Oreochromis niloticus: one gene and its partner. The protein of the gene in region 1 binds, or shares a complex with, the protein of each later gene. Links are inferred from orthologs where the notes say so. Each region holds a gene or a part of one and is shown in the gene's direction. Other genes may lie near its edges.

Region 1 (6,956 bases):
GATGTGTCCTTAGTACTGTTTAATTTTTTTTTAAAAATAACCTTTATTTGCTCTATTGCTTATGTCTGTTTTGTTTTCTTTCTTCTCCAGGCTAACGGTCTGGCTGCACTCGGCAAGTACGAGTCTTCCGGAAGTGGCACCGCCGCAGCCCAGTCCCTCTACGTGGCTAATCACGCCTATTAAACGGCAAACTACCACGTTGAGCTGTGGTGTAGTTATAGTCTTATATCTGCTCTGCTATCTCCCCTCTTCACTCCTCCATCAATCACAGGCCTGTGCTGTCTGCTTTACTTTAGAGTTCTTAAAGTTACATTATTAGATATGTGTATTTGAAACCATCATGTGACATCACAGTACTAAAAGGAAACAGACTTGGGTCGTCTGTCTGTTTTAATTTTTTTTTTTCTTTTTTTTTCCCCCCCCAGTTTCAACAAACGGTTACAGTTTTGAGACAATTTGAAGTTAAACGGTTGGAGGATAATCAAAAATGTTTAGTCAGTATTCATTCCACATTCCTTCTTTCACACACTTGTCTCTAATGTCAGGTGCTTTCTTACCCCCTCTCCCCACTTCACACAAAATATCAAATCGCTCCCAAGCAGGCCAGATCAGCATGTTTGTGTCAGTGTTTCGCTTCTGTCAGAACAGCATTGGTTCATTGTTGAAACGCTCTACTAACATCCGCACTGACACCAAGTGGGACCAACTGCTTATTAGTAGCATCAGAACATGCGTTAAGGAGCGACAGGGCAGACGAGGTGAAAATGTTGAGCCGAGTTGATCTTTTGAACAAAAGCGTGGAGTGCTCTGTTGTGCTTTCAGACAGCTGTATATCTAGCAGACGTTAGCAGGCACATTATACTGTAATAAGCCACTACACACCAGGATTCTTCCTCTTTTTTTGTTCTTGTGCTCCTTATCACCATTATTGAATTTGAAAACAACCACCTTGTGTGTCTGTTCATTAGCTTAAAATTACATGCAGTAATCAATGTATTCAGTTGTGTGAAGGTGTCAATATTATGTGATGCTAGTGTGTCATCCTCCCACCTGATTTCCCCCCTGCCTGCCCTACCGAACGACCAGACTAGTTTCTATCGACATTCACATTAAATGGACCAATGGCGTGGGGTCAGCAGCGGGGAAACGGTCGCTGCTGTGTTGGAGTACTGTGCCGTTTGTGGTGTTAATACTGTTCTTTAAGCACTTGGTGTGTCTAATAGTGGAGAAAAATAAACTAAAACCTTAAAACATCAGATGCTTTTGTGTGATGGAATTTTCTACACCTGTCCTGATACTGGCGATGACAGAGTTATGCATGTTAGTCAAATATTGCTACTTCATTATTTAGAATCTTTAATGCCTCTACATTTTAGAGAAATCTTGAGTATTTAACTATATTTAGTTGGTTGATATCATTATCTTAACACAATCAGTTTATCATGATTTGACATTAAATAGCCAACACTAATCTGCATAATTAAACTTTATTTTCAGTTTCCTGGAGGCGTATATATGCCTACATGTACCCCCTTTCTGAGTCCAATTCATGTGTTTTGCGCTCAGTCTTGCAGATTGGCTAGCCAGTTGCATGGAAGCAGCTCAGGGCGTGTAGGTATGACCTGCTGAAGTTAAAGCTAAAGATCAGAATGTAGCACGTAGGATATTACTTTGGTCAGGGTTTACGCAAACTGGTCCAAAAGACAAGGAAAAAATATCCAGTGAGCAGTATTTCTCTGGATGCTAATGCTTTGATGGCAGAGGAGACTGGCCAGACTGCTTTGAGCTGATCGAAAGGCAGCAGTAACTCAAATAACCACTCGATATCTAAGGTATGCAGAAGAGCATCTCTGAATGCACTACACATCACGTGGCTTGAAGGACATGTGCTACAGCAGCAGAAGACCACACCAGATGAAACTTATTTCAGTGGACCGTGAGTCTGTGTGAATTTATAAAGCCCTTTTAAAAACAACTACAGGGTTGAACAATAACACCAAATGTAAAAGACAAACTCAGACCAAAAGGTAAAAAAAAAAATATAGAAAATCGTTCCACAATTCTGCAGCTGCAACTTCGAAAGTCCCGTCACCTCTGTGTTTACGTTGTGTCTTCAGAACAAGCAAAAGTCTCTGGTCTGCTGACCTGAGAGAACGAGGTGGGACATAAGAGTGCAACAGCTCAGACATAAAATGATGCAGAATCATTAAGAGACAAAAGGATTTTTAAAATGGATTCATGAACTAACTGGAAGCCAGTGAATGGAAGCTAAAATTGGAGTGATGTGCTCTTGCATCCTTGCACCAGATAAAAATCGATCGGCAGTGTTTTGCACCAGCTGTAGGTGAGCAACTGGCCTGGCCGATTCCAATGAAAAGTGCATTGCAGTAATTGAGACGAGAGGTTATAAAATGCAAGTATAAATGTTTCAAGGTTGGACTAGAGTGGCTTGACCTTTGACAGTCAACTCAATTGGAAATAGCATGCTATTACTACAGTGTTCACATAAGCTTTGAGCTTTAGAGAAGGATCCATTGTCACTCCTAAATTAGTGATAATGGATTTCTCATATGGGGCCATAGAGGAAAGGTCAATGCGGGGGTTGCTGCTGGTGTCGTTGAGTCTAAACAACGTGACTTCTATCTTGTTCTCATTAAAATTCAAGTGATTTATCACCATCCATCTCCTGATATCGATAAGGCCGTCGTGGAGAGGCTGGACAGAGCATTCAGCCGTGTGCTTCAGTGGAAAATAAACTTGACAGTCGTCTGGATAACAATGAAAGCAAATATTATGTTTTGAGAAAACTGTATTGGCACAGGCTCACCAAAATTGGACAGTCTTGATTTCAGCTGCTATGGTCACATGAAAGGATCAGAATTTGGCATGAACAATATATAAGCACCGATCAATCCTGCCTTGTATCACCAGTTCTAACTGGTGGTGTAAGGGTGTGTAGGATAGTTTCTTGGCCCACTTTGGCTATTGTTTAAACATCACAGCTTTAACAGTATTGCTGATGACCATGTCCACCTTGTTGAATTTATGCAACAAAGAATTATGACAGCTCTGAAGTCAAAATGGGGTCCAAAAAGTTCATGAGGTCTAAAGTGTACCTTATGTTGGGTCCAAAAGATGTGTATTACCATTTTCACTAGCAGTACGGAGGCTACCAGTTTCTTAAAATTATTTAGATGAAATAAGCACTTTATGAAAGGGTATCTGTGGTGTCCAGTAGTGTCCAAGGGTCACCACACAAGTCACCCAAATTTAACAAAGCTGACCTAAAAGTAATGAGGTCATCCGTTTCACACCAGGACCAGCTGGACAAATCAGATCAGGGTAAATACATAACTGAGAGAGCAGCTGTTTCCTCCCTTATTGCCTGTTCTGGGGTGTCCTTGAGCGCCCTGGCTAACTTCCATAAAACATCCCAGGGTTAACAGATCAGATTAGGGTTTTACTAGACAGCTTGAGGAAGATGACAGTGATGCAAGTGGATGTCCCTCTAGTGTCCTTACCTGACAGAACTTCTGGTATCTTCAGAAGTTTTATAATGTGTCTGTGGTGGTTGGATGCATGAGCGAGAGTGAGTGCAGGGCTGTGGTGGACTTGTTTTTCCACATGTTGCGGGCATGCTGCTGGGGCAGCAGACTAAGGATCATATGTTTTAATCGTGTAAATAACACTAAGCTTACTCACTTTTAGTGGTTGCTCGGGAAATTTATGCATTCACAAACATGAATTGAGCCTGTCGTAATTAAAGCTACCACAGGTGGCGCTGAATGCCCACATTTATCACAGTGTGTTTGTGCGTTTAATTCTTTTACAGGGTGCGCCGACGGTCATTTCCGCTTCTGCACTCCTTTACAAAACAACGTACAGCCCTAACACTCTTTTTTAGAATTTTACGGACAGACAGGTGTATATGCAAATATTTGATCATATTTAATTTAATGTAAGCTATGTGTATGAATCACGGTTCTGTTTTGGCCCGCACATGAAGAACCGCTTAGATACGTTTAAAAATCGGTCATGTGATCGGTGCTGCTGGCTGCTTGGCATCCACTAGCGCTCCCTCCCAGTTCATTGGAAGAAATGGCTATCACGGAAGTGGGTGAGTAGATTCGTAACTGAAATGAGTGTAAATGATTTAATTCTTATTAAGTGTTTAATTTTCATTGGTTTACGTTAGATTTATTAAACATGAACCTTTGTACAGAGTGCAACCATAGCGGACTAACAGGAGCCGTTTTCTCCATGTTATGACCCTTTGAAGCTAATGGCTAGCTAGCCGCAGTTGCAGGGGTGATGCCCTGACACTGCAAGAACACCTGCTGTTTACTACATTATTTGTTTTTGTTTTGTTTTTTTAAATATATATTTTTAATTAAAGGAATACTTACGATATTAAAGCTTCCACAAAAGACAGTAACATGCCTAATGTTTACACTGAACCTCGTTTACAACCATGTAAGGCACTGTAGTTGATGCAGCATGATAGACACAGATGCAAATGTGTTACTCAGTCAGTGGTCACCAGTCTGGACATATCGAGGGTACGTAGGGGTCAAGGATTGGGATAAAATCCTCTGTCATGATATACAGTCACCGGACATTTTATTAGGTACACCATGAGACTACTGGATTTGATCCATATCCACCCCTTGTGGACATGGTCAGCAACATAACTCAGGTATTTAAACGAGGCTCAGTTGGTGCTAAGGGGCCAAGAGCATATCCCCCACAGCAGTCACACCACTAGATGCCTGTACTGTTGATACAAGACAAGGTGGAGCCCTACTTTTATGCTGTTGATGTCAAATTGTGACTAAAAAAGTGGCCAGTGAGTGTGTGTAACCTATTTTAATATATTATATTTAATATATTGTTCAATGATTTCCAGAAGAGAATAAAAAATAAATATTTTGTTTTTTAACAATGGAGTATTTTTTAGTTTAAACACCATGGTAAACTCTGATTATGTTTGCCAGTGCTTATATAAATGATCTGATTTTGTTTTAGCCTGAATCCCAAGTTAGGTTTGAATGTTGGCATTTAGAGCTGAAATAACTGGTCAGTTATCTGTTTAAACGAAGTTTTTTTTTTGCAGTTATTTTGGTAATAGATCGATTGTTACAGTTAGTCATTTTAATGTGAAACAGTATTTATTTTAACTAAGCTAAGTGTATGAATGTGAGAGTGAATGAATAGTGGCATTGTAAAGCGCTTTGGGTGCCTTGAAAAGCGCTATATGAAATCCAATCCATTAAGCTGTTATTGAATTTAAGATGGGTGTATTTCACATGTATACTTGAATTTTTAATGTACTTGGTTTTTAATTGATAGATTAATTAGAAGATTTATCATCAGTGAAAATCTTTCAAACAACAATACTGTGTGTTTGTCTCCCAGAGCGTCGACGAGGTCAGCTTGCTGCTCTATCCATAGCAGCCGTTGTCATCATTGTGGGAGTCCCTTTGTGGTGGCGAACAACTGAGACGTACCGTGCCTGGTTACCTGTCAGTCAGATCAAAGATCTGGCTAAACTGCAGGTTTTTAGTGTTTCCATTTATTACATCTCTCATGCCTTGTAGTTGATTGATTTTCCCTGTGTAATACCTTTTTAAAAACATTCTTCTCTCTACGTTATTTCTTATTTTGCAGCTGCATTTGAGCGCTGATGTCGAGGTTGTGTTTGCACGCGGCACCGTGACGCCAGAACAGCAGAAAAAGGTCCCGCTAACGCAGACGCAGGATGAGGAACATGCAGTGGATGGTGATTTGCTCGTGCAGTTTATAATTCTGCGGTTACAGAATATGAAGCCTGCAAGGTTGTTTGACTCTCAAACTTTCTTTCCAGAGGACACAACGTTGAGGTACAGGTATGAAACAAAGTACCGCACAGCTACAATCATGGAGGAAGATGCCCTGAAAAAGCCGACTGCTGCAGGTGAGCAGCAGTCTATCATATCCAACTTGTGGTACTTCAGATGTTGACATTTGACATTTTTTCTCAAAGAAAGCACAGCTGATAATCACGCTAATTTTTCTGCTTTAGAGGCAGATCTGTCTCTGCATATGCTCAGTGAGAGCCCGTGCGGTTCTTTAGTTGTGTATGTGATCCCGGAGTCCTCTTCTTTGCTGCCTGAGGTAAAACTGAAGCTTTTTTATTTTATTTCATGAGTGTGATCACTCCATGCTAATTACTATTTAAAAAAAGGATAATGAAGATAATATAATTTACTGTCACGGAGTGTAAATACAGTACCATCTGCAAAGCTTGAAACAGAATGAATTATCTGTTATATTCCAGGTAAGACAAAGATAATAAAGTATGCACTGCACCTTCATGCCTTTCAGGATGTGAATGTGTATATCGGTCAGCGAAGGACAGCCCTGGTGCGTATCAGTGCCCAGATGAGAGTGGGCAAGACACTAGAGCAATTGCTGGCTCAGCTGGAGCCCCGGATCAAGCAGGTGCTCCAAGTGATGTCTTTTAGCCACACTGACATCACCGTTGCACTCAGCGACAGAGTCCGTTTTAGACCTGGCAACAAAGAGAGCATTGCTGACAGCATGAGAGCCTTCAAATCTAGCCCAGGTTGGTAATTCGGCTCCAGGTTTAACTCTGAGAACACGTTTGCATCTTTTCTCTGATTGTTCTTATCTTCCTGTCAGGTTATGAGATCACATTCAGTCTCCTGAACCCCGATCCAAAGTCTCACCAGCTGCACTGGGACATTGAGGGTGCCGTGCAGACATACATCCAGCCTTTGCTTACAAAACTGTCCCCTCTGGCTAACTTTAGCATCGACTCTCAGGTGCTGTTAATGCGCAGTCCCCATTATGACAAAGAAAAGATGCTCAATTATTGGAAGTTAAGGTTAACCTTTCCTTTTTTACAGACCTTGTACTACACCATGCTCGGAGTGACCCCGCGCTTTGACAGCAGC
Region 2 (7,784 bases), on another chromosome or scaffold:
GCATTCTTTATTATCTCTATTTGACTCGTAGTTTCAGGCAGTATCCTCTTTTTTCCACAAATGCAAAAGAGAGAGAAACCAGGAAAATTACAAATATGTAACTGCGTGTCACACGTGACAATATTTGCCTCTAAAATGTACATATTTAATGATAAGTTTATGAATAAATCTGAGTTTTGTGGTAAAGTTTTGCATGCACAGTTTATATCATCACCAACCAGTGAGGGTGTGTCCCCTGGCGAGGATTCCTGCTGGGAATGCGGAGGGGGTCACTGTCCTCTCCTCTTCTTCTCTGCTCCTCTTCTTCCTCATCCCGCCGACTCTTCCTCTCTGCTCTCTGTCCTGTCGGTCTGTCCTGGGGGGGCAGCAGCTGAGTCTTCACCTTCTCCGACAAACTGTCTGCATCTTTGAACACACTGCAGAGAAGAGAGATGACTTTATTTATTTTCCAGCTCTATATTTTTATTTTCTGACTACCAGAGTAGCTCAGCATGATTCACAATGCAAAATAATCTTTAGTTATCAAACAAACTGCCCTTCAAGGCCAAACTCCCTTTCAGACAACCTTTTTATAATAGGCTTTCTCCAACAAATAAAAGATTTGAACAACAAGTCGGTGGGGTCAATCTGAGACAACCGTATAAGGCAGGCTGAGGACAAGGCATATTTTATTATTATTTATACAGGATCCAAAATAGTAACACAACAATTAAAATAATCATAACAACATAAGTCAATAGAATAAAAGCTTAATAAAGTAGAGCAGCTCAATAAAATAACCTGTCAAATGTGTGTAGCTGGTCAGTGTTCACGTGGTCGTTGATGTTCACCGTTAAGTCTGACACCTGCTGCGTGCTGGAGTTCTACACACACACACACACACACACACACACACACACACACACACGATCCATTAAAAGGATAGATTAACATGTAGAATAATATCTCAACAAACCAGCAAATAGTAAACTCAACCTAAATCATATTTTCTTAGTTTACACAACTGTGTGTCAGATCTTTGCATAGATCTACATTTCTCCAGTCTTACGGTGCAGTAATACGACCTGTATATGAATGACAAAAACTAAAACTAGCACTGAACTAAACACTAAACTAATCTAAACATTTTAATCGATACAAACTCGACTGGACCGAAAAAAAAATACAAATTTAAAAGTAAAGTGTTTGCGACCTCACCCCTGGCTGCAGTGATGTCTGCTCTGAACAGTAAGATTCAAATTTAGAAAATCAGACTTGATCCCTTTTAAGGCTTTTCATGGATCCCTACATCAGGACTGAAATGCAGGATAAACTGCACAGTCTATGTCAGTTCTCCAATGAAAAAATAATCCAGAGGAAAAATTCTTCTTCTTAAGGGGAGTTATGCAAAGTTTCAGGTTTCTGTTGTCATTAATAGAGAGAAAACCCCCACACACTACCAACATTTTTAAGGCACTATTTTAAATTGCCATTATCTAGAAAACTAATGAGACCAGTCCTACAAATGTTTATGTGCTTACCATCAGATTGAAGATCAAGGTGGAATCAACAGTGATTGCCTTGAGGAGCATTTGGGTGTCACTGTTGTTGGCTTTGTATCGCAGACTGTATAGCTCTTTGTTGTTACTCCAGTCAGCAGGCAGCAGCTCGGACTTCTTATCACTGCTGCGGGCCTGGAGGAAGAAGGTCACAGACGCCGTGAAGACAGATAAAAACCTAAAAGCAGCAGCAGAAACCTGCTTTTTCTTTTCACAATATTTGTTATCAGTATTTGGCCAGTTCACTGCAAATAACAAAACAATACTTAAAATATACAGCAAGAAATATGTGCTATTATTAGATATGACATATACTAATCTCATCACAAAGGTAAGATTGTTGTAAAAAATTGTAAATAAACTGCAGATTCTTGTGTTGCTGCAGTAAAACAGACAAAAACTAGCTAACATAAACAAGATCAACTCTATAATTAAAATGTGACAAAACAAAATTGGTCAATAACGTAAAAATTACACATAATAAAATAAAAAACTAATGTGGAAAAAGTAAATATAACAACAATAATGATACACATAAAAATCCAGTAGAGTGAGTTCATTTTTTAGGTGCATAACAATTTGTCATTATTTATATCTAAAGAAAAAAAAACACCTTTTCACCAAATCATCATGTTCAAAATAAAGAAAAATGTTTCATTTTATAAGTGGGTCACTTACTCTTCCTGTTTACTAAATGGCAGGTGTCATTCCAGAGTGATTTTATATAAAACAATCACAGAGAGATGCCGAACGCTTCCCTTTTCACGTTAAATCCCATTATAAATGCTTCATTTAAAAAAAAAAAAAAAATACTACTGATTACCTGTTGATTTCTGTAAAATGAACATGGGGAGAGGATGGAGGATAGCAAGGCTGCACACTAACACGAATCTGTGTCATAAACTCCCGTGGTGTTTCAGGATGACTGCCCCCAGTGGGTTAGCCAGCTAAAGATGACATGACAGTTTTGGTAAATTGTCGCTCTTAAACCAGATGCCGTCAAACTGAATATCAGCCATGACAGCTGGATTAAAGAAACCGAAAACGCATTTTTCACACTTTTAAATTCTTCGCGTTAACGTCGGCTTCACACAGGAGGTGATGCTTGTTTATGAAGCTATAGCTAATCTACGTTGAATATTACATACAGAACTCCACTGCAAAAACCGACATTTTAAGCATTTACTGGACATTACGGTCCGAAAAACATCGAAAACCACATATAGAGAATCTTTTTGCTAATATTTAATTTGTATTTCTCAATTTGGCGTAAGAATGATGAAAAAAGAAAATATTATCTTCTCCATTATGTGGGATAATTTAACACAAGATTTAGCTAAAATAAGCGAACTCACCTCGTCTCCTGAGCCGATGCACCTGTATCCGTTCTTTACCAGCTCCCAGTGAACAAAACACACAACGGCGTCCTGCGGGCAGGTTATCTTACCTGCGACACAGGTGTACAACACCTCCAAGCCAGCCATGTTTTCCTTCAATCTGCCAACATCGGTACAGTTTCAGGCAAAAGAAATGAAAACGAAAGTCTGGCCAGCAGCTTCACTGAGTCAAGCTGCAGTTCGGTGCCAAGCAACAGGAACCATTTCCGCTTCGCGGCTTTTCAGTTTAAAAGCACCAGAGAGCTGACCAAACGGTACCTATCTGCAAATAAAAATATCCAGTGATATTATGTGAGGTATTAACTTTTTTCATTGCTCTTTATTTCTATTTCATTTATTATTTCTAGCTTCAATTACGTTTCATTTTGATTCGCTCTCAGATTAGGTTTTCTTATTCAGTTTAGTTTTTCTTAGTTTCTGGGTTAGTTTGACTATAATGTGGGGGTATTTGTAAGAGGGAAATTTAGCCGAAGTAATAAAATACACACTCAACACTTCATGTCATGTAGACATGAAGTGTTGCGTTTCTCAGCCTTACAAAACATGTGCACCAATGCACCAAACTAAAATATTTTTCTCGTACCTGGGTTTATTTTTTATTTTGTTTGGGTTAACTGTAATAATGTTGAAATCTTCCCTACTTTAATTCATTACATCTTAATAGAGCCTATACCTCTGTATAACTGTTAATCTAAAGTAGGATTTCTCAAACCCGCGGGCCGGGGGCCACTTGTGACCCACGTCACATCTACTTTGGGCCCATATGTTGACATGAAGAATTATAATGCAATTTGGCCCTTGAACGTATTTATTTATATATATTTATATATTTAAAAATGATTTAATATGAAGGCAACATGAACAGAGAGTACAAACATGTTGAGGGATTGGTTTTGTTGGTTTAGTGAGAGAGTTATTTAACAATTTTCACTAGCAGTCAAAAACCAATGTGTACACTGATGTCTGCATTTTTATTTTGTCAAATATGAACAAAATTATGGCAGAAGTGCTGCCATGTGTCTGGCCAGAAAGAGAGTACCAATTTGTTTATTTGGTAGTTCAATGAAAGGCTTCAGTTAATGAAGAGTGAGGGAAAAAATACATTCACGTTTGCAGTTTTGCCTTTTTATACAATATTTGAAATAAAAAAAACCAAACGAACAAATTAACACTACATTTTCTAAGATATTTGTGGGTGTTTTCTTGTTTGTTAGTTTTTGTACCACTTGAAAACTAAAGTGGCCCTCGGATGAGATGACAGTGCCAGCAGTGGCCCACAGCTCATTTAAGTTTGAGATCTTTGACCCCAAAATGTCAGTTGATGAATTTTCAGATGGCATTTTTATGCTTGCTATTGTATTCTTTGTGTGAAGCTATTTTAATGAACCCTAACCTGATCAGAAAAAAGTAAATTTATGTTTTTTAACAGAGTCAATTTTGTTTTTGAAATAACCGCACGGTTAGCGGAAGCGTAGTGGCTCACTGTGTACGGCTTTTTGTTTTGATCCAACACAAATAGTCTCCGGATGAAAACAAGTATAGGACAACAATTGTTCCGCTTTGTGTGTTTGTCCTGTCTGTCAGAGTGTGTTTCACATGTAAAATGAATCCTCAGCTGACATCAAGCAAACATGTAAAAAGATAACACATGCACCCATTATCTGTATGTCTATTTTTTTGATATTCATATTTCTATATAAATTTTTCTTTAATTTCCAGCATTTGCTTTAGAGTACATTTATTTATTTATTTATTTATTTATCTGGACTTGTGGTTCCTTCTCTCCTTCCTACACATTTGGAGACTTCATTTCCCGTCGTGCACCTCGCAGGGCGGACAGCGCTTCCTTGTCAAGATGGCGGCTCCCTTGACTCTGCTGTTGATTGTGGCCGTTACGATCCGTGCCGCTCTGTTCCGGTCCAGTTTGGCGGAGCTGATTGCAGAGAGGGTGGAGGTGGTGTCGCCGATAACCGCCTGGAAGAGAGGTAAGCGCGGGTCCAGCGGCGGTTTGGAGCCGCTGCGGTCGGTTCACGTCCGGGTCCCCTCACCTCCCTCTCATCGGTGCTGTTATCCGGTAACTCGGTCAAACCGGTTCAGCTGCGAAAATCAGCAGCTGAGATTCAAATTCAGAAAGCTTGATGATGTTTTACTGACATTAAGCTAACAGCGGATACTTTTTACTTTCTGTAGGGGAAGATTTAAACAAGTGTTTCTTTGTTATTTCCAATGAATGGAGCTCAGTGGTTGTTTCTCTGTCAAACATCCATCGACCACTAGTAGTAATGACGACCAGAGTCTCTGCCAGCGGCTGAACAAAGATCTGCACAGTCTATAGTATTTGTGGACCCCTTTAAATCCTCCTGTGATCCACATTAGTTTCCACGGGGTCATTTGCGCATAGTAACGTAGACGTTACACCTGTAAAACATCTGGCTGACGTGTGTATAATGTTACATCAGCAAGTGTTTAAAAATTCATTTTCACAGCTACAGCCAATTTAAAATCACCACTAACAGGCACATGGCCCCTGCCTTCATGACCTTCTTGCTGTGAGGTGATAGCGCTAACAGTTGCACCACTGTGCAGACACCCTAATTTGGACAAAAGTATACAAACAGGCTAAAATATATATATACACCCCCATGAATAATTGGTTAATTGACCCTTAGCAACTGACTACCTCTTCTGTAATCGTTGAGTTATGAGGGCTCAAAGTGATGGAGAAAATGCACATACCCCCACCCCATGTGCTTCGATGGCCAGTAAATATCTGAAAATAATTAATGTACAAAAAAAATCAACTGGTTCACAGTGGGAGGCACTCGCTGATTTGACTTTATTATTTGACATATTTATATCAGCTTTCCATTAGTTACCACAGACAAAGGTTTTGTTTTAGATGAATTTGTGAAATGTTAGTGGACAGTGTTTAAGTTTCCATTTAGCATATGATGACACAGTACCTGACAGGAGCCAGAGGTGCAGGTTTGCAGACAATCTGAGCTTTTTCTGTAAAACAGAAAACATGACCAACATGCTGTGAGACTCACACAGAAACATTTCATGCATTTTTCATTAGGCAGTTGTAACTGGAAGCTGTGGAACTGCTACTTTCAAGAGGAGGCATTCAAAGATAACAGCCCAGTGCTGGTAAAAAATAATAAAAGTTGGAGATTTTAACATCATTTATGATTTTGGCTTCTAATGATAGTGGAATAGAGTGAAAATGGTTTAAAATGTAGCTTCACTCTCGAAATGTCAGACCAAATTCACCAAGTTGAAGTTCCATAAATGCAAAAATAAACATTTTCCATAGTCACCAAAATAATTGTGGTTGTGATTTTTATTGTAATCAAGCAGTCTTAATAAAACTGTTTCTCTGTTGCTGTTTCTCTGCAGTTGTTGAAGGTTTGGCTCTGCTTGATTTGGGAGTTTCACCATATTCTGGAGATGTTTTCCATGAGGTGAATCCCTCTCTCTCACTCACACACACACACACACACACACCTATTACAAAGTGTGTGTGAACATTGAAGGTTATATTTGTTACATGAACCTGAAAATAATCAGAAAATTAGAAGGAGATGGTCTGGAAAACAAAGACGAAACATTCCAGATTCTGCTCATTTCGTGGTGAACCATCACAGTGGAAGGGAACTTTAACTTCTTTCTACAAAACGTCAGATTTCCATTGAAGCAGCATTCAGGTAACACCCAGGTGAAAACTTTGCTTACTGAGCAGCATTGTAATAGTGAGAACTGCATCATCAGAACAAAGTGAAAGTGTCAGAGTCAGATCTTCTGAGGGAGGAGGGGCTTCCTCAGAGTCGGGCCATGGCTGGACCGAAGATTTCTAAGAGGGGAGGGCACGATACTCTAAAACATCCAGAGCGAGATCGGGGTGCCCAAAAGTCAACGCATCAAACTTTGTTCACAGAGATAGAAAATTAACTTCAACAAACACAAAATGTATTAAATAAAGAACACAAGAGTCAATCAGCAAAAGAAGGCTGCCCGTTGGTAGACTCGGAGGATGAGTAGCATCTGTAAACCACCTCTCGAATGTCACATTTCACCAACAAGGTGCCGGTGCTCAGTCTAAAACTAGTTTCATGCATTTCCACCAAAAAGACCTTTAGCTGTTTCTCAGAAAGCACTGAAGTTGCTCTGCTCGGGTGCCGTGTTGGTGGAAAACGGACAATAAATGTCTTATTTAATTATTTAGACATGCTCGGATGTTTCAGTTGCTCCTGGTTCTTGATTTTTCCATTACATGCTTGGACCTCATAGATGGTGTATTTCTACAACTGAGATCTGAGTCAGCAGAAAATCCACAAATGAGGCATGTTGATGTTTAGATGTTCATGTTGAATTCTCCTTCTGCTCTGATCCTTTCAGACTCCTCTCATCATCTACATGTTTCACTTTTTGGTGGACTACGCAGAGATCACATTTATGGTGAGTCTGAATAAAAACATCATTTTGAAGCATTTTGTAGTGGAGGCAGTCTCATTACTGGAGAGGGACGGCTCAGGTGGAGCGGACTTGTGCAGAGGATGGATAGGGAATATGCGTGTTGGACAAGAGCTGCCAGGCCACAGAGAAGATTCATAGATGTAGTGAAGGAGGATGTTAGGGATCTGGTGACATGGAGGCAGATGATTGTGACAACCCCTAAAGAAGAAGGTGGTTAAAATCTGAAATGTGATCAAATTGATTGTAAAGCCTCCCACAAACCTTGTTGAGGCAGATGTTGATGAGAGCTGGTTCTCCGAGTACAACCCAGAACCTGAACGGCAGGTTTCAGTCTCAGTCCACAGTTTTGAAGTCCAAAGGCATCAGCAGAGAC

Evidence for each region. Proteins that work in one complex are often made in the same cells at the same time.
Region 2: the proteins of pigs (region 1) and pigu are in contact, whole or in part, in a cryo-EM structure (PDB 8IMX), measured with the Homo sapiens proteins. The link is inferred for Oreochromis niloticus from reciprocal best matches to the Homo sapiens genes PIGS and PIGU. Residues at the interface, in NP_149975.1 of Homo sapiens: Ala4, Gly5, Ala8, Thr9, Glu12, Arg15, Arg18, Ala19, Phe22, Phe23, Val26, Leu30, Leu34, Trp35, Thr38, Thr39, Leu510, Leu511, Phe513, Ile521, Tyr522, Leu525, Phe526; in NP_536724.1 of Homo sapiens: Gln118, Phe282, Glu283, His284, Phe285, Leu287, Phe288, Phe289, Cys291, Val292, Phe293, Ile295, Phe299, Tyr300, Ile302, Pro303, Ile306, Lys307, Lys309, Glu310, Thr417, His418.

The regions. Positions count from the first base shown.
Region 1 is NC_031975.2:13,898,412-13,905,367, reverse strand, and holds the start of pigs (GPI transamidase component PIG-S), read left to right. Parts: upstream 1-3,955; 5' UTR 3,956-4,098; coding exon 4,099-4,117; intron 4,118-5,415; coding exon 5,416-5,555; intron 5,556-5,667; coding exon 5,668-5,779; intron 5,780-5,863; coding exon 5,864-5,953; intron 5,954-6,061; coding exon 6,062-6,153; intron 6,154-6,363; coding exon 6,364-6,604; intron 6,605-6,681; coding exon 6,682-6,824; intron 6,825-6,908; coding exon 6,909-6,956. Other genes in the region: aldocb (fructose-bisphosphate aldolase C-B), read left to right, coding at 91-183. UniProt on the Homo sapiens protein: Component of the glycosylphosphatidylinositol-anchor (GPI-anchor) transamidase (GPI-T) complex that catalyzes the formation of the linkage between a proprotein and a GPI-anchor and participates in GPI anchored protein biosynthesis.
Region 2 is NC_031970.2:5,252,207-5,259,990, forward strand, and holds the start of pigu (phosphatidylinositol glycan anchor biosynthesis class U protein), read left to right. Parts: upstream 1-4,733; 5' UTR 4,734-4,790; coding exon 4,791-4,920; intron 4,921-6,334; coding exon 6,335-6,399; intron 6,400-7,333; coding exon 7,334-7,393; intron 7,394-7,784. Other genes in the region: psmf1 (proteasome inhibitor PI31 subunit), read right to left, coding at 219-416, 781-863, 1,521-1,673, 2,894-3,022. UniProt on the Homo sapiens protein: Component of the glycosylphosphatidylinositol-anchor (GPI-anchor) transamidase (GPI-T) complex that catalyzes the formation of the linkage between a proprotein and a GPI-anchor and participates in GPI anchored protein biosynthesis.